Linked DNA regions of Diceros bicornis minor. The protein of the gene in region 3 binds, or shares a complex with, the protein of the main gene of each other region. Links are inferred from orthologs where the notes say so. Each region holds a gene or a part of one and is shown on either strand. Other genes may lie near its edges.

Evidence for each region. Proteins that work in one complex are often made in the same cells at the same time.
Region 1: ABI1 (region 3) and WASF2 share a complex: the UniProt entries of both Homo sapiens proteins name them as parts of the WAVE2 complex. The link is inferred for Diceros bicornis minor from reciprocal best matches to the Homo sapiens genes ABI1 and WASF2.
Region 2: ABI1 (region 3) and NCKAP1 share a complex: the UniProt entries of both Homo sapiens proteins name them as parts of the WAVE2 complex. The link is inferred for Diceros bicornis minor from reciprocal best matches to the Homo sapiens genes ABI1 and NCKAP1.

The regions. Positions count from the first base shown.
Region 1 is NC_080752.1:43,073,536-43,080,710, forward strand, and holds the start of WASF2 (actin-binding protein WASF2), read right to left. Parts: upstream 3,011-7,175; 5' UTR 2,843-3,010; intron 1-2,842. UniProt on the Homo sapiens protein: Downstream effector molecule involved in the transmission of signals from tyrosine kinase receptors and small GTPases to the actin cytoskeleton. Promotes formation of actin filaments. Part of the WAVE complex that regulates lamellipodia formation.
Region 2 is NC_080749.1:62,921,906-62,928,822, forward strand, and holds the start of NCKAP1 (nck-associated protein 1), read right to left. Parts: upstream 3,011-6,917; 5' UTR 2,760-3,010; coding exon 2,652-2,759; intron 1-2,651. UniProt on the Homo sapiens protein: Part of the WAVE complex that regulates lamellipodia formation. The WAVE complex regulates actin filament reorganization via its interaction with the Arp2/3 complex. Actin remodeling activity is regulated by RAC1.
Region 3 is NC_080775.1:25,872,600-25,879,467, forward strand, and holds the start of ABI1 (abl interactor 1), read right to left. Parts: upstream 3,008-6,868; 5' UTR 2,896-3,007; coding exon 2,779-2,895; intron 1-2,778. UniProt on the Homo sapiens protein: May act in negative regulation of cell growth and transformation by interacting with nonreceptor tyrosine kinases ABL1 and/or ABL2. May play a role in regulation of EGF-induced Erk pathway activation. Involved in cytoskeletal reorganization and EGFR signaling.

The DNA of each region.
Region 1 (7,175 bases), on a different chromosome or scaffold from region 3:
GTTTTGAAATTAGCTTGGTTTACACTATTGTTCCTTGTAATTGTTCTTGTCATCACCTAAGTTTTATCCATAGAGGTCCACAATCCCTTAACTTCAATTCCAAAATCCAAAAGGCTGTAAAAAACAAGCTTTTCATTATTCATTTGGCGGCAAATTCTGACGTGAAATGACATGAGGCTATTTATAGTATTTATTTATCCCAGTTGGTGTGAAAATTCTGACATTTTACTACAGAAATAGTAATGTGTTTGATTACAAGGTGCTGCCCCAGAATTTTCTGGGATGTTACATAACACACAGTACATGTACCATATTCCTTTTCTAAAATCCAAAAAATTCTAAATTCAGAAACACATCTGGCCCCAAGAACTTTTTTTGTGGCCCCAAGGTAATGTGGACTGGTACACTAGTTAAGACTAAATCTTATACAGAAAATATAACTAATACTGACAATGAAGATAGATCTTCTGGGGCCAGCCCCACGGCTTAGCGGTTAAGTGCATGCGCTCTGATGCTGGCGGCCCAGGTTCGGATCCCAGGCGTGCACCGACATACCGGTTCTCTGGCCATGCTGAGGCCGCGTCCCACATACAGCAACTAGAAGGATGTGCAACTATGACATACAACTATCTACTGGGGCTTTGGGGGGAAAATAAATAAATAAAATTATAAAAAAAAAAAAGATAGATCTTCACATGCAATAAATTCAATGTCTTAACAACTATTCACACATATATAATCCTGTAAAATAAAGCATTAAAAAGACTTAACAAATGTCAAAAACCAAACACACCATTATGTGTTTTTAATGTGATGGTAACATTTGCATCATCCAATATTTAGATCAATTCCTCTTTGGTTGAAATCCACTAATTTAATGCACAGTTAAAACAGACTGCAATTGGTAATTATGTTGAGAAAAAGAATCATCCACCAATAAAGTACTCAGTAAAATGTTCTGATTTTTAAAATATTTATCTCAGAGGGTTTAAAATTTAAAATTATTTCATTCTAGAATACAATTTCTGAACATTGAATAAATTATAATTAACTTTTTCTGTGAAAGCAGAGCAGACAGGGACAGCACTTAAAGATATCTGAATGGGAAGAAGAGTTTCACAGTTCTTTCCTTCCTTCCTCCTTCAGTTGCTGCTTTTCTGGTTTTAGAATTTCAAACAAAGAAATACATATTGGCTCCACTGCTAAGAAACGCCCTCTTTCTCAGTAACTTCCTCTTCCAATTTTCTTCCCTACCATTGACATATGAGAACAATACATACTGCTGGTCCTACCATTTCGATTAATCAAAAGCTTTGAGACTTGGAAAAATTAGTGCTGCAATTTATAGTACCCAATTACCTCCCACTCCAGGTCCACAATCTTCACGCATCTAGAAGTCAGATAACAGAGAGCACAAAGACAAGAAACACTTCGCTTAATCAGAGGCAAGCTATTGAAACTTTCACTCCAGGAATCCAAAGAAATCTGAACTAACAAATGGGAAATTTCTCCCATCCCAAGAAAGCCTGGCCTTCTTAGGGAGGAGAAAGTTACTGGGCTGGCACCACTCTGAACCAAGAGTCAAGTTTATACACCAATAGTTGGTGAACTTTCTTCCACAGGCCACCCAGTCAGGATTCAAACTGAGCTCTCTGAGGTTCTGATACACTTCAATGTGACTTTTACAATTCAGAAATGGTCCTTTCCAACTCACAGACTGAACAAAGGGGATGCACGTATAATTACCCAGGCAGAGATCAAAACCTGGCCTATCTCCACGCCAGAAGTCAATTCAAGCGTCTGGGACCAGACCCTTCTCCCGCTTTGTGACAAAGCAAACTTCTTTTAAATGGGCAGTGACTTCCCCCTTGCCCAGTGACTCTCAAAGGAAATACCCTATCGTTGGTAAACTCTGCACCATACTGCGTGACCTTGGGCAAGTTACTTAACTCCTCTGAAACTTAGTTTCCTCATGTGTAAATAAAGTCTCAAAGACAGCTGTAAAAATTAAATAAGAACATATGCCTAAACAAGGTCTGGCACATAGTAGGAGCACCATAAATGTTCTCCCTTCTCTTCCTAACCTCCTTGAATTCTTTTGGGCCTAAATTTCAATCACAGCCCCAAGAGGTTCCGAAGACCCTTCCTCTTCTCTAATTCTATGCAGAACTGCATAAAACTTCCCCATCTCCGAGGCTCTAGGATCCTGGAGGACCAAGACAACCATACTCCACCCACCACAGTCTGGGGTCCATCCAGAGCCCCTTTAGGCAACTCTCCTCCTTACTCTGCAGTACCATCCTGTACACACACGTACGTGTACCCACACACACAGACAGTCCCCTCCACTACTCTGCAACTTAGCAGACCAGGGTCTCAAAGAGCACCTCAATTCTTTCATGGCCCAGAGATGGAAACTGAGGCTCCGCCCGGTGAAGACTTTACCCAAGATCTCAGACAACATCTGGCATCCAACTCATGTACATCTGCCTGCAGAGCCTTCGTTTTACCAATGGGAAAACTGAGGCCCAAAGAAGGAAGTGACTTGCCCAAGGTCACACAGAGAGCTGGTGGCAGAGCCAAGTCAGGTTGGGGCACTTTCGCAGCCTCACAGACTCGCAGGCCCCACAACTCTCCCAGGGGATCTCCGGGACACCTCCTCCTTGGGGAAGGGAGTGTAGAAAAAGACGCCACCCCTCGCGGCCCGCTCGCTCGGCCTCTGCCTGGCCGCGGCAGGAGGCGCGGCACCCACTCCCCCGGGACTCTGCGCCGCTCGGGAGGGGCGGCCCGGCCGGGCCCGGCGCCTCACGGTGGGGCCCACTCGCGGGGACTTGTTGCTCACCTGGTCTCGCGCGGTTACCCTCAGCGACAGAAGGGCCAGCCGCCCGCCCTTCTCGGCACGGGGACTGTTACCGCGGGCCGCCACGCAGGCTGCCACACAGCCAGACCCCCTCAACGCACTACGCCCCCAGCCGCGCTCCACCGGCCCGCGTCCGCCATTACGCGACTCCCCGCCCTGGGACGCAGCCACACCCCGCCAACAACCCTGATTGGCTCTCTGCCTCACCCGCCTGGGGCTTCCGGGCACTCCATTGGCCTGAGTGGAATGCCAGTTAAATTGCTACGCAAAAGACGTACTCAAGTGTACCGTCCCTGGAGCTCCACCCGAGCTACTTCCGCAATCAGAGTAAACAGCGGCGGGGCAAACCAAGTGAAGTGGGGGTGGAGATTAAACTAAATCAACTCCTAAATTCAAGGTTGGAAAATCTCCCCTAAGGAAGTGTAAAAACTCACACAAAGTTTGTTAAAAGACGAATTATTCCTATTAGAGTTCAAAGAACCAGTGTTTTTGGTGGAAGGAAGGGGCCAAGCCCAGACCTTTCTGTGGACACCCCTCGTTGCAGATGGTTCTGTCCCTTCCCTCTCGGTCGCAGGCCCGGCCGAAAGTAGGGTGGGGAAAGTGAGTCATAGGCTCCAGTCCGCCGCGGAGGGATCCGTTCGGGGCGAGGCCCGAGCTTCTGGGACTAGAAGCTGGTTTTGGCAGGCCAGGGTCGGGTAAAGTAGAACTTGGTTAAGCCGCCACGCCGCTCTGCGATTTCAGACAACTGCCTGAACTTATCTGGGTCTCAGTTTGTTCTTCTGCAAAATAGGAGCAGTCATGTCTGCCTCCTATCTTGGAGTGTTTGTTGAGGATTCATGCATGAGTCGGTATATGTGCATCTTGATTATAAAAGGCTGCAGCTGGGTATCAATGTGACAGATACACAAGTTAGCGAAGATACTTCATTTAGTTCTCTAGAGCAACTCGGTAAGGCGGATATTGTCCTCGTTTTGCAGAAGAGAAAACTGAAAACTCCATGACTTACCCTGGGTCACCCAGGGAATTTGAAACATCCTGGGACTCAAACCTGTATCTTTTGGCTTCCATTCCTGTATTTCTCCCTTCCAGGCTTGGTGTCCCCTGAGAAAGACTTTCCTCCCCCAACCCCTTAGCATTCCAGGGAGGGTCTTGAGGGTGCCAGGCCAGTCCCCCCTCTATGTGGTCACCATAGACATAGACACAGCAACCCCTTAGCTATTGTTAGTCACCAAGGTTCCAGGGAAATGTGACCCTAGAGGTGTGTCCGAGCTGTTTCTGAGGTCCTAGGAATCGGGAAGTGAGTAAGGGATGGCAGATGGGTCAGCAACCCAGACAGAATCCCAAATGAGGACACACAAGCTCCGAGAGGGACAGTGACGCTACTGTGGGCCCTCAGAGGGGCAGCTTCCATGCCAGGACTTAAATCCAGGTTTCTCTGCTCTCAGAACAGGGCTCTTTTCACTGCAGGATTGTTTTTCCCAGAAGGGCTGCCTTGGCTGTAATTCCTAGTCCCTTTCCCTCTGGAAAGGAAGGAAGCCAAGAAGAGAGTGGGAGGGAGAGCAGCCTAAGACTTTAGCAGGGCAGAGAGCACCAAGTGGGTGGTGCCAACGAGGCCCCAGTTGCCAGCTGAGTCAGTGACCTCCAGGCTCAAATTGGGATGTGTGGTCTGACAACCAGTGACTATTTAAATCCTGACTGTGGCCATTGGGTGCTGGGAGGCAGCAGGTGCTATGCAGAGGTCAGTGGCTTTGGGGTCAGACTGACCTGAGGTGGAATCCAGGCTCCAGCACTTTCTAGCTGAGCCTCACCTACCCACGTCTTCTCTAAAATGGGGAGGACAGGGCAGTTGTGAGGATTCAATGAGTTAATTGTGGAATTAATGAGTCATGTGTGTAAAGTGCCTGGGAGCTATTTATTCATTCATGGATTCATTCATTCAATAAAAAATTAAGCACCAATCATGTGTAGGGCAGCCGGCCAGTGGTGCAGCTACAATGGTGAGCAAAACAGACTCAGACCCTCATGGAGCTTAGAGTTTGGTGAGGAAGTGAGTCGTTAAACAAATGATCAGACGAATCAAAATACAGTTAGAAACTGTGATAAGGAACAAGAAGGCAAAGTACAATGTGTTTATGAGAGTGAATGTCAGGGGATGGGGTGGGGTCAGAGGAGGCTTCCTAAAGAGTTGATGTCTTGGGTGAGTTGATGAATGGGGGTTAACTAGGCAGCAGGTGGTTGGGAGAAGTGTTGCAGGCCAAGAGAAAGGGTGTGGAAGGCATCTAGGCCAATGGGGATAATGGCGATGGGGAGGAAGGGTAGAGCTCTCATGCATGCATGCCTGTACGCACGCACTCTCACACAGGGCCTAAACAAATGAGGTTTTACAGGGGAGGGAAACTGGCTTTGAGAGTGGGCTGGTCTCCAAGGGTCTCTGCTTTTCTGATAGTTCTTGAAAGAACACAAGCTTTGTGGCCAACCCACCTGGGTTTCAATCTTGGCTCTGCCATCTCACCTCGGACTGTGTGACCTTGAGCAGTCCCCACACCTCTCTGTGCCTCAGCCACTCTTCTGAGAAATGGGGATAATGATAGAGGGGCATAAAGTGGCAGTGAAGATTCAATGTTGAAATGTGTTAAAAAGTATAAAGCGTTCTGGCACATAGAAGGCGCTCCATAAACAGTGCTTGGCCTTCCCAGCATGGAGGGAGGGGAGCCTGAGGCAGCAGATCCAGCGGATGCGTTAGGGAGAGAGCTGATGTAAGCGTCTATGCACTGGGCGAGTTGTCATCTGACTTTAATTGTCAGAGAAGACTGGAGCCAGGCAGCCTGGGTTCAAATCACAGTTTACCACTTCCTAGCAGTGTGACCTTGGGCAGGTGACTTCATCTCTCTGAGCCTCAGTTTCCTTATCTGCAAAATGGGAATCATAGTTGTTTCTATTTCCCAGAGCTGTGAAGATTAAGTGAGATAATAAATGTGAAGGACTTAGCACAGTGATTGGCACATAGGAAGCAGTTGTTGGATGTTAATTTTAATAATAATAATTATTATTTTCTTTTAATAATTTTATTTATTTTTTTTTCCCCCAAAGCCCCAGTAGATAGTTGTATGTCATAGCTGCATTTCCTTCTAGTTGCTGTATGTGGGACACGGCCTCAGCATGGCCGGAGAAGCGGTGCGTTGGTGCGCACCCGGGATCCGAACCCGGGCCGCCAGCAGCGGAGCGCGCGCACCCAACCGCTAAGCCACGGGGCCGGCCCTTAATAATAATTATTGATATCAGTATACTACCTATACTAGGTAAGATTCTGGGGCTTTGCTTGAAGGTTGTTTGGCAACAGGAGCCTTAGTTTCTCCTTTTAGGCAATGGAGATAGACAAGTTGCTTTCAGAGGGGGTGGTGCTGTGCATTTTAATAGTAATTAAATTGATATTAACCAATAAGCACTAACATTGAGCATTTACTCTGTGCCAGCCCTGTGCTAAGTGCTTTACATGCATTAACTCATAAATCCTCATAGCAATCCTATAAGTTAGGTCCTGTTATCATCATCATTTTACAAATGAGATAAAAGAAGCACAAAGAGGTTCAGTGACTTGCCCAAGGCCACCCAGTCAGGAAGCAGCAAGGCTGGAATTTAAACCCAACCTGGGAACTCGGACCGAATTCGGAATTCAGGAGGGCTTGCTGCTCTTGAGGGCAAGCCCTCCTTCTTCCCAGGGAGTTAGAGTTATCGTGTGGAGCAATGAATTCTTCACTGCCTGGAGCAAGTCCCCAGGTTCTGAGGGCCAAGCCTCCATTCCTTTCCTACCAATTCTAAAAAATAACCCTTGCCTGTTCCCTGTCCCCTAAGGCTGATAAGAGCAGGGAGCAGATACTCTTCCTCTGCAAGGGGAAGCAAAAAGACATTTAGAGTCCCTTAGAACTGGCTCTGAGTCCCAACTTTGCCACTTCACGGCTCTGTAATCTCAGCCAAGTCACGCCCCCTCTCTGAGCCTCAGTTTCCTTATCTATAAAATAGGTATGATAACAGCTCTGCCTACAGGGCTGTTGTGAGGAGCAGAAAAAATAAGGCCTGCATAAACTATAAAGTGCTGTCAGCACAAGAGTTCCTCTCATTGTTGCTATAGGGATAGCAAGCACTCTGGGAAACCAGCCTGAACCAGTATAGCAGGCAAATTGCCATCTCTGGAAACAGTCCTGGGTTTGAGTCCCAGATCTGCCTTTTATGTCTGTGTGACCTTGGGCACGTTATATAACCTGGCTGAGCCTCAGTTTTTTCATCTATAGAATGGAGTGCATCATACTGATCTTGT
Region 2 (6,917 bases), on a different chromosome or scaffold from region 3:
TGTGTATGCTCACTAAAATATTTCCATTGCAGACTTGCAATTAAAACAGCAAAGTAACCAGATCTGATAGACAATCTAATGCACACATGCATTAATAAAAATGTGATAATTGAGTGGTGGACATGTACTATGTGGTGGGAGGTTTTTTTGAGGACCAGAAGATTGAGACTGAAAAGATCACGTGGTTTATACTGTCATAAAAATGCAGACAGCATGAACCTTATAAACACTTGGTGAACAGATCTTACTCATTTTGGCAAAATTTTTGAACAAATGTTTCAATTCCTAGCCAGCCGGGAAGATATGCCAGTCTTAGACAACTCTGCAGAGGCTGAAAGATTCAAAATCTGATGCATTTGTATGCAAAATTATTCAAGGAAAGCAAACCAAAAATTATTAAAACTAGAGCAAGATTATACACACACACTCATATATATGTTAAATATATACATATAATATAATATACATAATATTCATCCGTTTCAACAAGGCCTAACTGAAGGCCTCATGGACCACCTGAGGCCCTAAGTACCAGTAACTCAAAAGTGAGTAACACTGTCCCTGCCCAGAGGGAACTCACAATCAGGCAAGGTAGATAAAATACTTCTCAACAAACCATAAATATGTTAAGTGTTGAAATATAACATTTCAATAACTCAAAATATTTGACACTAGGATATAATGATCACATTCAACTCATTTTAAATTTTACTAGTGCAGTAATACAAGAGCCTCAAGTTTCTCAAAACAGGAAGTGAAAAAAGACACTTTTGAGAAAAGACAGTGAACTGAAATTATAAGAGTTCAAATGCTTCGAATTTAGTATAATCTTAGTTAATTTATGAAGGTGGATTATGCAAAGTTTGATTGTATTTACACCATAAAAATGTTGAACGAAGGCTTAAAAAAACCTATTTTGCCCAAATACCCAAATCACTTTTGATGTTAACTCTCACTTCCTCTTCTGGAAACCATCATAACCATTTCCTTTAACCACAATACCACAGGTCTAGTAACTTTTAGTAATGTTTGACTTGTTCGTTTTTTGGACAAGTTCAGATAGGAACCAATTTCCAACTTTGTTAAGGAGTATAATGCTCACAAAAAAGTTTAGGTCAATGCAACCTATAAGTAATACTACCTAAAATTAAATTATTCCCAACCTACATAAATGTATAACCAAGGCTCTCTGATAAATGCAGAGGGCTTCTTTCTAATGACACTGAGCTCCTGCCACATAAAATATAACCAACTGAATAGGCATGTTGCAGTTACTCTCCAAATTGCACTGAGTTTAGAGTCAATCAATCCTTGCATCCAGGTGAGCAACTGGGAGCATTGCTATCCTTATGCAATATTTATCACTATTAAGTCAGGTCAGTTTTCTCCTTTATAATTACAATGTCTACATCAAATTGTTTAGTTTTATACTTGAACCCCATGATAGGAATTTCAAAAAGATATTCTTTCTTCAGCAGCCCTAATTTACAAGCACTAACATTCTATTGCCATGAAAGAAATATTTATGATATACTAAAAAGCCAACAAAAATTATTATGAAGACATGACATCAAATACACATTGGAAACTCTAAGGATCTAGATTGTACCAAAAAATCTCTCTCATTTTCTCTTAACAAATTCTTTAAAATTTACTAACCTTGTCTTCAAAAGGATTTTGCTTGTTTTCTCTTAGAGATAAATTAATATAATATTTGTTCTATCTTTACATTTATTTTTCTTAATTCCAACTCAGCCTTCCATTCCTTAATCTGCTGAAGCCATATGAAGACTTTCAATGGGCCTATTAGCTACAGCTACTCAAATTATCAGCATATGCTATAAATCAGCAGTGACAGCGACATACCCACAGTTTTTATTTTGTACCGACGCCGAACTTTAAGAAATGGTGTTTGGGTACTATCAGACAGGGCTGGAAAAACCAAGATGAGGAGGAGTAAAGAGGGAAGGGAGAGAAGGTTGTTATTCCTGTTCTAGTGACTCACAGCCCAGGAGTATTTCAGAAGAAAATTGGTTCCACCCTCACTTCCCCCTCCTCTCCACCTCCGAAATGACATGATCTCAAACGGTCAACCCGCTCTCAAATGGCTTTTATTTAGCAATCTAAAATAAAGTGGCAAAGTGGAGGGGATGTGGGGTTCATCCTGATTAGGCATTCCTTTCCCACATTCCCACACTTACACACCAAAAAAATCCAGAAAAAACTGCTACCATCTCCGCCAGATTCCTACCATTCAACCCCAGTTAGGGAACACCCAAGTTCTCCTATTCCCCCCCAATCTCGCCCCCCCCCGCCACCCTCCTTTTCCAGTGTACCCCGTTCGGGGGCGGGGGTGCCGGGGAGGGGGCGGCAGCGACCCTCACCCGCAGCCGGGCCCGGCCGGATTCCGGCGCCAGAAGCCGGGAAATGGCTCCTCTCGGCCTCCGGCCGGCCCGCGAGCCACCGGGGAGGCGCCCGGACTCCGCATTAGGCCGCGGCGCATCCTGGCGACCCCGGGCCGGGCCTGCGGCGGCGAGGCCGTGATTTCTGCCCCGGGCGCCGCCCGCCGCCCTCACCCCGGCCGCCCCTGCCCTCCATCCCTCCTCGGCCCGCCCGCCGCCCCCGCCGCGGCCTCGCCGGCCCGTGCGCACCTTCTTGATGTTGTAGAGGCGGGTGAGCATGCCGACGCCCCGGTCGTTGAGGATGGTGAGCTTCTCCGCCAGCTTCTGCTGACTGGGCTGCAGCACCGAGCGCGACATGGTGGTGGAGGAGGTGGTGGAGGAGGTGGTGGTGGTGGTGCCGCCGCCGCCGCCGGCCGCCTCGCGCCCAGTCCCCGGCCCGCGGCCTCCGCGGCAGCCTCTCCCGGGCCTCCTCCCCTCCCGCCCGCGACCTCCGCCTCAGGGGAGCGCGCCCATGGCCCGGGCGTCCCAATCCCGCGCCGGTGACAGAGCGAGCCGCGGCGGACGCCTCGGGGTCCCTTCCCCCGCAGCAGCCTGCGCCCCGGCAGCCTCCTGCCTTCCGCCCGCCGCCTTTCCGTCCCCACCCCCGGCGCTCTCCGCCCCAGCCCCCACCGAGCCGCCTTCCCGGGCTCCTCCACTAGGTGTGGCGGCGGCGGCGGCGTCTCCGGCGGCTGAGAACGAGGCCGCTTCTCGCAGCCCCGGACGAGCGCTCGGTCACCTGATCGGTCGCGCCGGCGCCCCCGCGAGGCCGGACGGAGAACTGCGCCTGGGGGGCCCTCGCCCTCCCCGCCCCGCCTCGCCGCCGCTCGGGACCCGGCTCGGGCCCCAGACCCGGCCCGGCCCGCCCACTGCGCCTGATCCCGGCATGCGAGTCCTAACCCGGGATCGAGGCGGGTCACGTTTCTACGCTCGTCCCACTTCGCCCCACGCCCCTCTCCTTCAAGTTCCCAAAAGTTGCTTTTCCGCCCCACCTCCCCAAAGAAAGCAGCAGAAGCCCGGAGTGGGTGGGTTTCAGGCGAGTTTCGCCTAAGAGTGGGCTGGTGGCTCCAAGCTTTTTTTCCTCCCACTGCTTGACAGACGCTTTCCGCTGAACATAGCAGATGTTGTGCTCCGCGAGGCGGGCATCGCCTCTCCCATCCTCCCCATCCCATCGCTACTCCCCCGCCTCAAGGCAGTTTGTGAGAGAGGAGGTCGGAAGTGAGGGCGACTCAAGTTCCTGAGATAATCAGAATCCGGAATTTGCCGACGAGGAGCACCCATCCGGAGAAAACGCTAATAGAGAGGCCCTGGCATGTGGAAGGCCAAAAATAAAATGTTCAATGAATGAAGGAACGCCCCCATTTTTTTCTGACCTCCACCCTAAATCCTACCCCTTCTTGGAAACATTCTACTTTTCTATCTCATTGTTTCTTTCCTGATCAATTTCTTCCCAGCCAGGCTCCAAGACTACTCCCTTTGGTCAAATATATTAGACACGATTCCAAAAGTGAACAAATCAAGGACTTATGTAATTGACTGGGGTGAGGTATTCTAGCCAAGACAATTGAAGCCATTTTAGTATTTTTGGCCTTGATTTCCTTCAATGTGTTGATCTTATATTATGTTCATTAATTTTAAGTGAGTGACAAAATGTTCTGCCACCTTCAATAAAAGACATTTTAAGAGTAAATAAGCTATCATTGGATTGATCAAAACTTTATGAAAAGGAAATTGTGACGAATAGATTTTAAAACATTTTTTAAAGCTAATAAATGTACTATTCCTACGGAAATCTTCATTTCAATATCCCAACGAGAGAGAGGGAGTTAATGGAATGGATTGCATTTAAAGGCCGTTACAAAGAGTCCTACATCCACCAGAAAGTCTATCATACCTGACATTGTGCTTGAAATTCTATGCATAGAATTTCATTGCCTTAAATGAAGGCTTTGTACCTAGAATCCTTTTTGTTTGTTTTAAATACAAACACCTCAGAGAGATCACCTATTGAGCTATTATTAGTCAATAACACGTTAGGGGATTTAATTTATCTGGTTACTTTCCAACCTGATAGTTAAAATTTTAATTTAGAGGCGACCAGTGTCTGGAGCCTGAGAAAGTGAGAGCACAGCTGGGAGAAGGGAGGCTGCATGAGGGGTTTGGGGCAGTCAGATGGGAAAACTGAAAGGTGTTGAATGTTGGGGGAAAGATGTGCTCCTTTAGAGGACCACAAGCAAATTTAACTAGAGTCAGAATTTCAGAGTCCTACCAGTGAAAGCTTACATCATTTTCTAGTTTTTCAAAAGTGCCGTATAGCGAGAACAAGAAAATGGCACCATATAATTTGAACACAACTGTTACTCCTCAAAAAAGCCATATCATGTTTCCATCTGAACTTGAACGCTTATAGCTGCTTATAACGCAGAGAGTACCCAATAAAGGGAGAACTCTGAAAATAGTAGTCTCATTCAATATTTATTACAACTAATTTTTAGACATATTGGCCCTAGACTGAGTGGAATATGTCTATTTGAGTAAAAGAGATTAGGTCTAGATGAAGTATTTACAATTCTTGCATTTCTCTGCATTTTGCATCAAAAAGTATTTTGTTATTAAGATCCAACCCTTTCAAAGTTTGCCTATATGTGTAGTATAAATATACTGTCAGTGCTAAGGTAATAATCATATATTTTGCTATGCATGTATGATTTATGGCTATTGTAATTACTATATGTCATTTTATATTTACTTTCAGGTTTTCAGTCTTTGAGAATATGCCATACCATGTGAATCAGCCTGTAAAGTTATTATGAAAAATTGCTCCTGTTGTGGATTTTTTTTCCTGTTGTAGTTTTCTGGAAAACCATAATATTTTTTAAATGATTAGGAAACTAAATTTTAAAAAGCACGATTGAAAATTTTATTTACCTCATCATACAAAGCATTGTCTTCACAGTTCCTTTGGTACTAAAGATTTTCAAATAGTTTCACTTCAGTTAAGAGATTTCTGCTGTTTGTCCCCAGAACATATTCAGAAATCACTGAAATTATTATAAGCCTTCAGAGAGACGTAGCAAGTAGATGATAGCTTCATATTTGTAGTAATCTTAGAAAATTAACTAGTAAAGTTAACTAGTATAGACCAGTATGCCTAAAAAAGTGTAAATTTTACTGTATGTAAATTATATCTCAATAAATCTGACTTTTAAAAAGTTATGTATCGGGCCAGCCCCGTGGCTTGGTGGTTAAGTGCGCGCGCTCCGATGCTGGTGGCCCGGGTTCGGATCCCGGGCGCGCACCGAGGCACCACTTCTCCGGCCATCCTGAGGCCGAGTCCCACATACAGCAACTAGAAGGATGTGCAGCTATGACATACAACTATCTACTGGGGCTTTGGGGGGAAAAAATAAATAAATAAAATCTTAAAAAATAAATAAATAAAAAGTTATGTATCTATGTTTGAAAAATTATTTTTATTGAGACAAGTATAATGGTACCCACTCTAAGGAATGTAAGCATTTGAAAATCCAAACTGGAAAATACTTAAATTGAAGGAGAAGTGAGGTTGACTTTATAAAAGTATTTATAATAGAATTACATTTTGTGGCACCCAAATATATTTTACAATGATTCAATTATAAACTTCTACTCATAAAATTTCAGAAACAAATCTATGATACACAGCTTTTATATATGTATTATTACAAAACATTCAGTCATTTATAGTAACAATCCTGGATGGATTTAAAGAATACTTTTCAATTCTATGTAATACATTAAACAATCAAATACTTAAAGTATGCAAAGTACTGTTGTTCTAAAGGAGATATGAAGCTGTATAAGATCTAGATTTTGATTTCCTTGAACTCACATCCTGGTGAGAATAGAAATATACATAAGGAAGTCTAATATAAGGAGGCCTGAAATACAGGGCTATAAGAGAAGACCTAGAAAGAACAGTTTCAAGCTGAAGTTGCTAAGAGCCCTTTTGCAATACCTTACCCTTGGGCCTTGAATGAGAAGTAAGTCTTGGACTTATAAACTTGTAGAAAATGACATTCTAGGCAAAAGGTTCGACTTTGGTGAATGCAAAATAGTAGGAAAGTGCTGGAAATAATAAGAATGTTCATTACATACATGAAAGAAACAATGAGAAATAAAGCCAGAAAGAGAAGTGGAACAGAAAATATGTAAGCTTATGAATGCTAAGATAGGGAAAAAAATTCAACGAAGAAGAAGAAATGTAAAAAAAAAATGGGAGAACAAAAGATGACTTTTGAGGACTCAAGGATAATAAAGATAATTTGAAAATTATCTTTATCACAGTCGCTGACTGTGACAGGGTCATTGATTATCCTTCAATAGCTGTTGTTTCTTTCTCCTTTAGAAATAGAATAAAGACTACATCTCCCAGCCTCCCTTGCAGCCTAGTGTAGCCATAGGACTAATGTTCCAGCCAATATGATGTAAGTTTTCAAG
Region 3 (6,868 bases):
GGCAGGGGTCGCCCCGATGGTGTAGCGGTTAAGTTCACGTGCTCCGCTTCACAGCCCAGGGTTCACAGGTTCGGATCCCAGGCGCGGACCAACACACCACTCATCAAGCCACGCGGTGGCGGCATCCCATATACAAAACAGAGGAAGATGGGCACAGATGTTAGCTCAGAGCTAATCTTCCTCAGCAAAAAGAGAAGGATTGGCAATGGATGTTAGCTCAGAGCCAGTTTTCCTCACACACACAAAAAAGCACCCAGTCAATAACTTAACTCACCTGGGTATAAAAAATTCTCAAAACACAAGCGACCATACACTTTCCCTGAGAAGAGGTATGTTTATGCAGGCTGTTGATTATAACCCAATCAGGGTCACAGAAGGGATACAGAAAGATCTCAAAAGACATCTAAATGGATATTTCTAGTACTACTTGTTCCCTATTCACAGCACCAAAGTTAGCAGCACAGCACATCATGAAGTCAGCTACCACATCAACTTCCAGAAAGTCTCCATCATCTTCCCAGCCTGTCTGAGCCTGACCCTGTCTGAGCCTCTTGGCAAGGCAGCTAGTGGCCTGCATCACATAGCCCAAAGTTTAAATGCTACTAAGATAAACATTGCTATGTGTGAATTTCATCTTTTTTCCCCCCAGTAAGATCAGCATACTTCACCAGTGTCAAGTTTAAGACCGCCAAAAAAAATTAGGGGCCACTAACAGTGGCTCTTGGCACCATGGTACTAACATGTTTAAAAGTAAGAGACTACATGAAAAATAACATGACTTATCTTAATTAACGGATATTACCAAGTTTAGAAGTGTTTCAAAGTTATGTGATGGTAGCAGGAGGGGAAAAGGAAAGGTAGCAGGGGGAAAAAAAGCCTTAGATCACACAACTACCTGAAAAAAAAATAGTCAACAGACAGGTTAAAACACGTTTGCATTTGCCAAGACGTAGCAGTTACCACACCATATATTTGTCAGATTTCCCAACATGCAGAACAAAAAGAAGCCACCCCTTCATGAAGCGATTATCTGCTGACTTCTACAAAGAAATGATTTTTCTAGAATGAGGGCAATATAACTTCCTGTGACTTTGACTTTCAAAATCTTTAAAACATTCAGCCAATTGAGATTTGCCTCAATTTTAAGGCTTTTCATGTTAAGTTAAATAAAAGGTGTATATTTTTAATATCGATAAACTACAAGATCACTTTTCTATTTAAAAACCATATCCACATTTCTAACATAATTCAGAATATTTTTAAAAGGCTAAATATAAAGTTTGCAAAAACAAATAATACAGTAGACATGGCAAGCATTCAACAAGTTTATTTATCAGTAGAATTCCTAAAGTAAAAGCTTGAAAAAATTTGAGATAAATTCCTACCAGTACTACTGAAGATACAATGTTACTAATACGGAAACTGAGAATATTCAAAATATTCTGAAAACAGTATCTCCTTCTAAAAATAAAGCTGAAAACCATTTGCCAACACAAACTATTGATTTTTAAAAACGATAATCACATGGGAGGCATTTCTATACATACTTCAGTTGTGAATTGCAATACCCCTAACCTTTCAAAGCACGTTCTGGTCATGCCTTACCACTAACAAGCGACTTTTTGGTGCCATTATATTGATACAAAGGCCTCTGCTAATTGGCTTCTACTGCAAACTGCTGGTTTACGCAAAGATCTACAAACCAAACTACCACAACATAATTCACTTTCAATCACTAAAATAAAAACGAACAAGCAAGCATCTGTCACAGAAAAGGCCCCAAGAATCTGCTAATAAATTTACAGTAAGACACTTTACGTTATGATTTTAAGACTAAATATGTCCTATAATCTACTTAATTTATATTCTACACATTTACTTAGATTGGAAAGAGAGAAACCTCAGAAAATAAGCAACCGGCGATTACACCATTCTATTTTAAGTTACTTAGGAAGCCAACAGTTCAAGAACTTTTGGGGACGAGAGCGTATTTAAGGCATTTTTCCAAGCGGTTAAGAACAATCTGTGTTTTATAGTAACGATAGCCCTAACAACCTCTAGAATAGATTACGGTGGGGCGGAAGTGAAAACGATGAGAGGGAAAAACCCGACTTGCAAACGGACAGGCAGGCAGATTTACAAACCTTCAATTAAAGGAATTTTGAGATTAACTTCTCTTCTACGCCCTCCCTCGCTCCCCACCCGCTTCCTCCCCTCCTTGGGGAGGTCTGTGTAATGTGACTCATGACAAATTTTTTAAAAAATAAATAAATAAAAGACACACCCTCTGGGTTGAACTGACAAAACCGCCCCCACCCCAGCCTCCCCCGCCGCACGCCCCGCTTTTCCTCTCTCCCTGCGCCTCGTCCCTGCCCTTCCCTCTCCCCTCGCTGCCCGTCCCAGACCCCTCTCCCGGCGGCGGGGCGGCCGCCGGCTCTCCGGGACAGCACCGGGGAAGGGAGGGCTGCGGGGGGCGGCGCGACTGGGGGCCGAGCCGCGGGGAGGCAGACGGCAGGGGGCTCCGGGCTCCCTCGCCCGCTTCCTCGCTCCCCTTCTGTCGGTTTCACCCACCACAGCCACTTCCTGTATGGCAGCCCGAAACCCTCACCCGACCACTCGCTCTCTCCCCGGCTGGGATTTGGGGCTGGGGCTGGGGTTGGGGCTGAGGCGGCCGCCGAGGTTAGGGCACTTCCCCACCCCGCCCAGCGGGCTGGTCACTCGGGCGGCCGGCGGCGGGGTCCTCGGCCCGGCCGGCCAGCGCCCGCCCGCGCGCCTCACCTGTATGTAGTTGTTCTCACAGTAGTCGGCCACCCGCGTCAGGTTCTGGTAACTCTCTATCAGCGCCCTCTTGCCGGACGGGATCTCCTCCTCTAGTAACATCTGCAGCTCTGCCATTTTCCACCCCTCCGCATCGCTTCCTCTCGCGTTAAAGAGACAGAAGCAGCAAGGTCCGCGGAGCCTCCGAGCACCTCACAGCCCGGATACAAACCGCCTACCCGCCCTCCCGCCTGGTATTGTGGGACGGCACCTCCTCCTCTTCCTCCTCGCTCTCTCCACCCCCTCCTCCCACTTCGCGCAGCCGCCGCAACCTCGTTTTCTCGCGAGCCTTCGGGTCTTTCCCTCCCCCGCCCCTCGACCACGGGATTCCCCCCCACCCCCGGCATGGTCTTCTGGGAAGTGTAGTCTCTCACAGGCTAGGTTAGCCATCAAAGGCGCATGCGTCCAAGGAGCCTCCGAAAAAGCACGTCAACTCAAGGGTCGGGGGTTAAGTCTGGAGTTTCCTGACAGCTCCGGGAGATGGCGCCACAGGGTGATTGAAGAGAATAAAACCGGTTCCTCCTGAGAAGGCTGTGAAACTTGGCAGAACTTGGTTAATTAGGAAATGTCAGTGAATCAGAGATATCAACTCTGATAAGAATTAAAAAGGGCTAGAATATGGAAAAATTCTAATCTTTACTTCCTCAATCTTCTTAGAGATAGCGCAACTCGGGCTTTACTTTCTAAACTTCCGCCACCCTCAATTCATTTAAAATTTAGCAAATATGTGTTATCGCCAGCTCTGTACTGTAACAAATAATGCAAGAAACATTGGGAGTACAAGTTGAGTAAGGATACTCTATACTCTTAAACACTCACAATTTAAAAATAAACATAATTTTTAGTGCTATCTTTAATCTCTTTTTCTTTGACTCTTCTTTGCACGTATCTATCTACAATTTTGAAGTTATGTACACGTTATCTATGCTGTATAAAATTATTTTGGTTTCTTTTGTTATCAACTGCTTTGGAATAGTCTAAAAGGCCCTATATTTCAAGGATTTCATTTCAACAGGATCATTAAATACTTTTGATATAATGGGCTATGAAAGTGTCCAAAGGTAGAAAAGGAAACTAATTTAAAGATCATTTAAATATCCATATTTTCATCTCTCTATGAAGTCGTTTAGAATCACAATAACTATAGGAATAATAATGTGGCTCAACCAGATTTTAAAAAATTGACCCATCAATAGGTATTTATTGAATATTGCCCATACTAGGGGCCATAAAATGCTCAACCTCTACAAGGAAAAACTTTAGTCTCCTACCTGAAAGAGATAATCAGCCCCACCCACCAGATTCCCAATCAAGGATTCTAAGGTCCATCAATAAATAAATGGCTTACTCTCAATAATTATCTGGAATAGACATAATAGTCTTTCTTTAATATTTATCGTTAATCCAAACATTATTTAATCCAATATTAAAATTTGATGTATTCTTGAACTTGGTCTCTACATGAGCCAGATTTAGCTATGGAAATCACTAAGTTCGTTTATATCCATATGTTGATACGTTTCAACAACATTGGGGGAGGGGTCAGACAGGTGATGCTGCTTTACTACTTTCAAAGTAGTATCAAATTTCTTTAATGCTCACAAGTCTGAAAGATAAATGACCTAAAGATTCCTTTCTACTTTACCAAATAAGGAAATTTAAGCTTAGACAGGTTAAGAGATATAGCTAAGGGCGCTGAAAACAGTAGTAAAGTCCTCTGACTGCCAGATCAGTGGTCTTTCCACTATTCAGTTAAAACACTTGTGGTTCAAATAAAGTCCATTCAAAGAAGTTATCCCTCATACCTCTAAGGTGATTGAATTGAATATGCTACCTTTTGTTTTTGTTTTTGTTTTTTGTGAGGAAGATCAGCCCTGAGCTAACATCCATGCTAATCCTCCTCTTTTTGCTGAGGAAGACCGGCTCTGAGCTAACATCCATTGCCTAATCCTCCTCCTTTTTTTCCCCCAAAGCCCCCCAGTAGATAGTTGTACGTCACAGTTGCACATCCTTCTAGTTGCTGTATGTGGGACAGGGCCTCAGCATGGCCAGAGATGCGGTGCGTCAGTGCGCGCCTGGGATCCAAACCCGGGCCGCCAGTAGCAGAGCGCACGCACTTAACCGCCAAGCCACGGGGCCGGCCCTGTATTTTTATTAAAAAAAAAAAAAAACAGTTTCCCTGATAATTGTAGACTATAATCAGGCAATATTTCTTTACTTGAAACCAAAGGGAATTTGAGGGGATAAAACCATAAAACACAGCACCATACTGTAGCCATTGACTTTCAGCATTTATTGACACTAAAATTTATATGGAACGACAAAAGACTTCAAATAGCAAAAGCAATCCTGAGGAGAAAGAACAAAGCTGGAGGGCCAGGCCCAGTGGCCTAGAGGTTAAGTTCAGCATGCTCCACTCAGTGGCCTGGGTTCAGTTCCCGGGGGGCAGACCTACATCACTCATCTATCAGCTGCCATGCTGTGATGGCAGCTCACATACAAAATAGAGGAAGATTGGCAACAGATGTTAGCTCAGGGTGAATTTTCCTCAGCAAAAAAAAAAGAAGAACAAAGCTGGAGGCATCACAATCCCTGACTTCAAACTATACTACAAAGCTATAGTAATCAAAACAGCATGGTACTGGCACAAAAATAGACACATAGATCAATGGAACAGAATTGACAGCTCAGAAATAAACCCACAAATCTATAGACAGCTAATCTTCAAGAAAGGAACCAAGAACATAGAATGGAGAAAGGAAAGGCTCTTTGATAAATGGTATTGGGAAAACTGGACAGCCACATGCAAAAGAATGAAAGTAGACCATTATCTTATACCATACACATAAATTAACTCAAAATGGATTAAAACTGTGAAGGTAAGATGTGAAACCATAAAACTCCTAGAAGAAAATATAGGTGGTACACTCTTTGACATTGGTCTTAGCAGCATCTTTTCGAATATCATGTCTACTCAGGCATGGGAAACAAAAGAAAAAATAGACAAATGAGACTACATCAGACTAGAGCTTCTGCAAGGCAAAGGAAAGCAGGAACAAAACAAAAAGACAACCCACCAAGTAGGAGAAAATATTTGCAAATCATACATCCCACAAGGGGTTAATCTCCAAAATATGTAAAGAACTCATATAACTCAACAACAAACAAACAAACAATCCAATCAAAAAATGGGCAGAGGATATGAACAGATGTTTTTCCAAAGAAGATATACAGATGGCCAATAGGCACATAAAAAGATGTTCAACGTCACTAATCATTAGGGAAATGCAAATCAAAACTACAATGAGATATCACCTTACACCTGTTAGAATGGCTATAATTACCAAGACAAAAAATAACAAATGTTGGAGAGGACGTGGAGAAAAGGGAACCCTCATACACTGCTGGTGGGAATGCAAACTGGTCCAGCCACTATGGAAAACAGTATGGAGATTTCTCAAAAAATTAAAAATAGAAATACCATATGATCCAGCTATCCCACTACTGGGTATTTATCCAAAGAAGTTGAAATCAACAGTTCACAGAGGCTTATGCACCGCTATGTTCATTGCAGCACTATTCACAATGGCCAAGACCTGGAAGCAACCCAAGGGCCAAACAACTGACAAATAGATAAAGAAGATATGGTGTATATATATATACAATGGAATATTACTCAGCTATAAAAAGACGACAAAATGGTTCCATTTGCAACAACATGGATGAAACTTGAGGGTATCATGTTAAGTGAAATAAGCCAGACAGAGAAAGACAAACACGTATGATTTCACTCATATGTGGAAGATAAACAAACACGTGGACAAAGAGAACAGGTTAGTGGTTACCAGAGGGGAAGAGGGTTGGGGGGTGAGTGAAAGGGGTAAAGGGGCACATGTATATGTTGATGGATAAAAATTAGACTATTGGTGGCCAGCACAATGCAGTCTATACAAAAATTGATATATAATAATGTACACCTGAAATTTCACGGTGTTATAAACCAATATGACCTCAAAAACAAACAAACAAATGGGATTTGTGGGGACAAAAC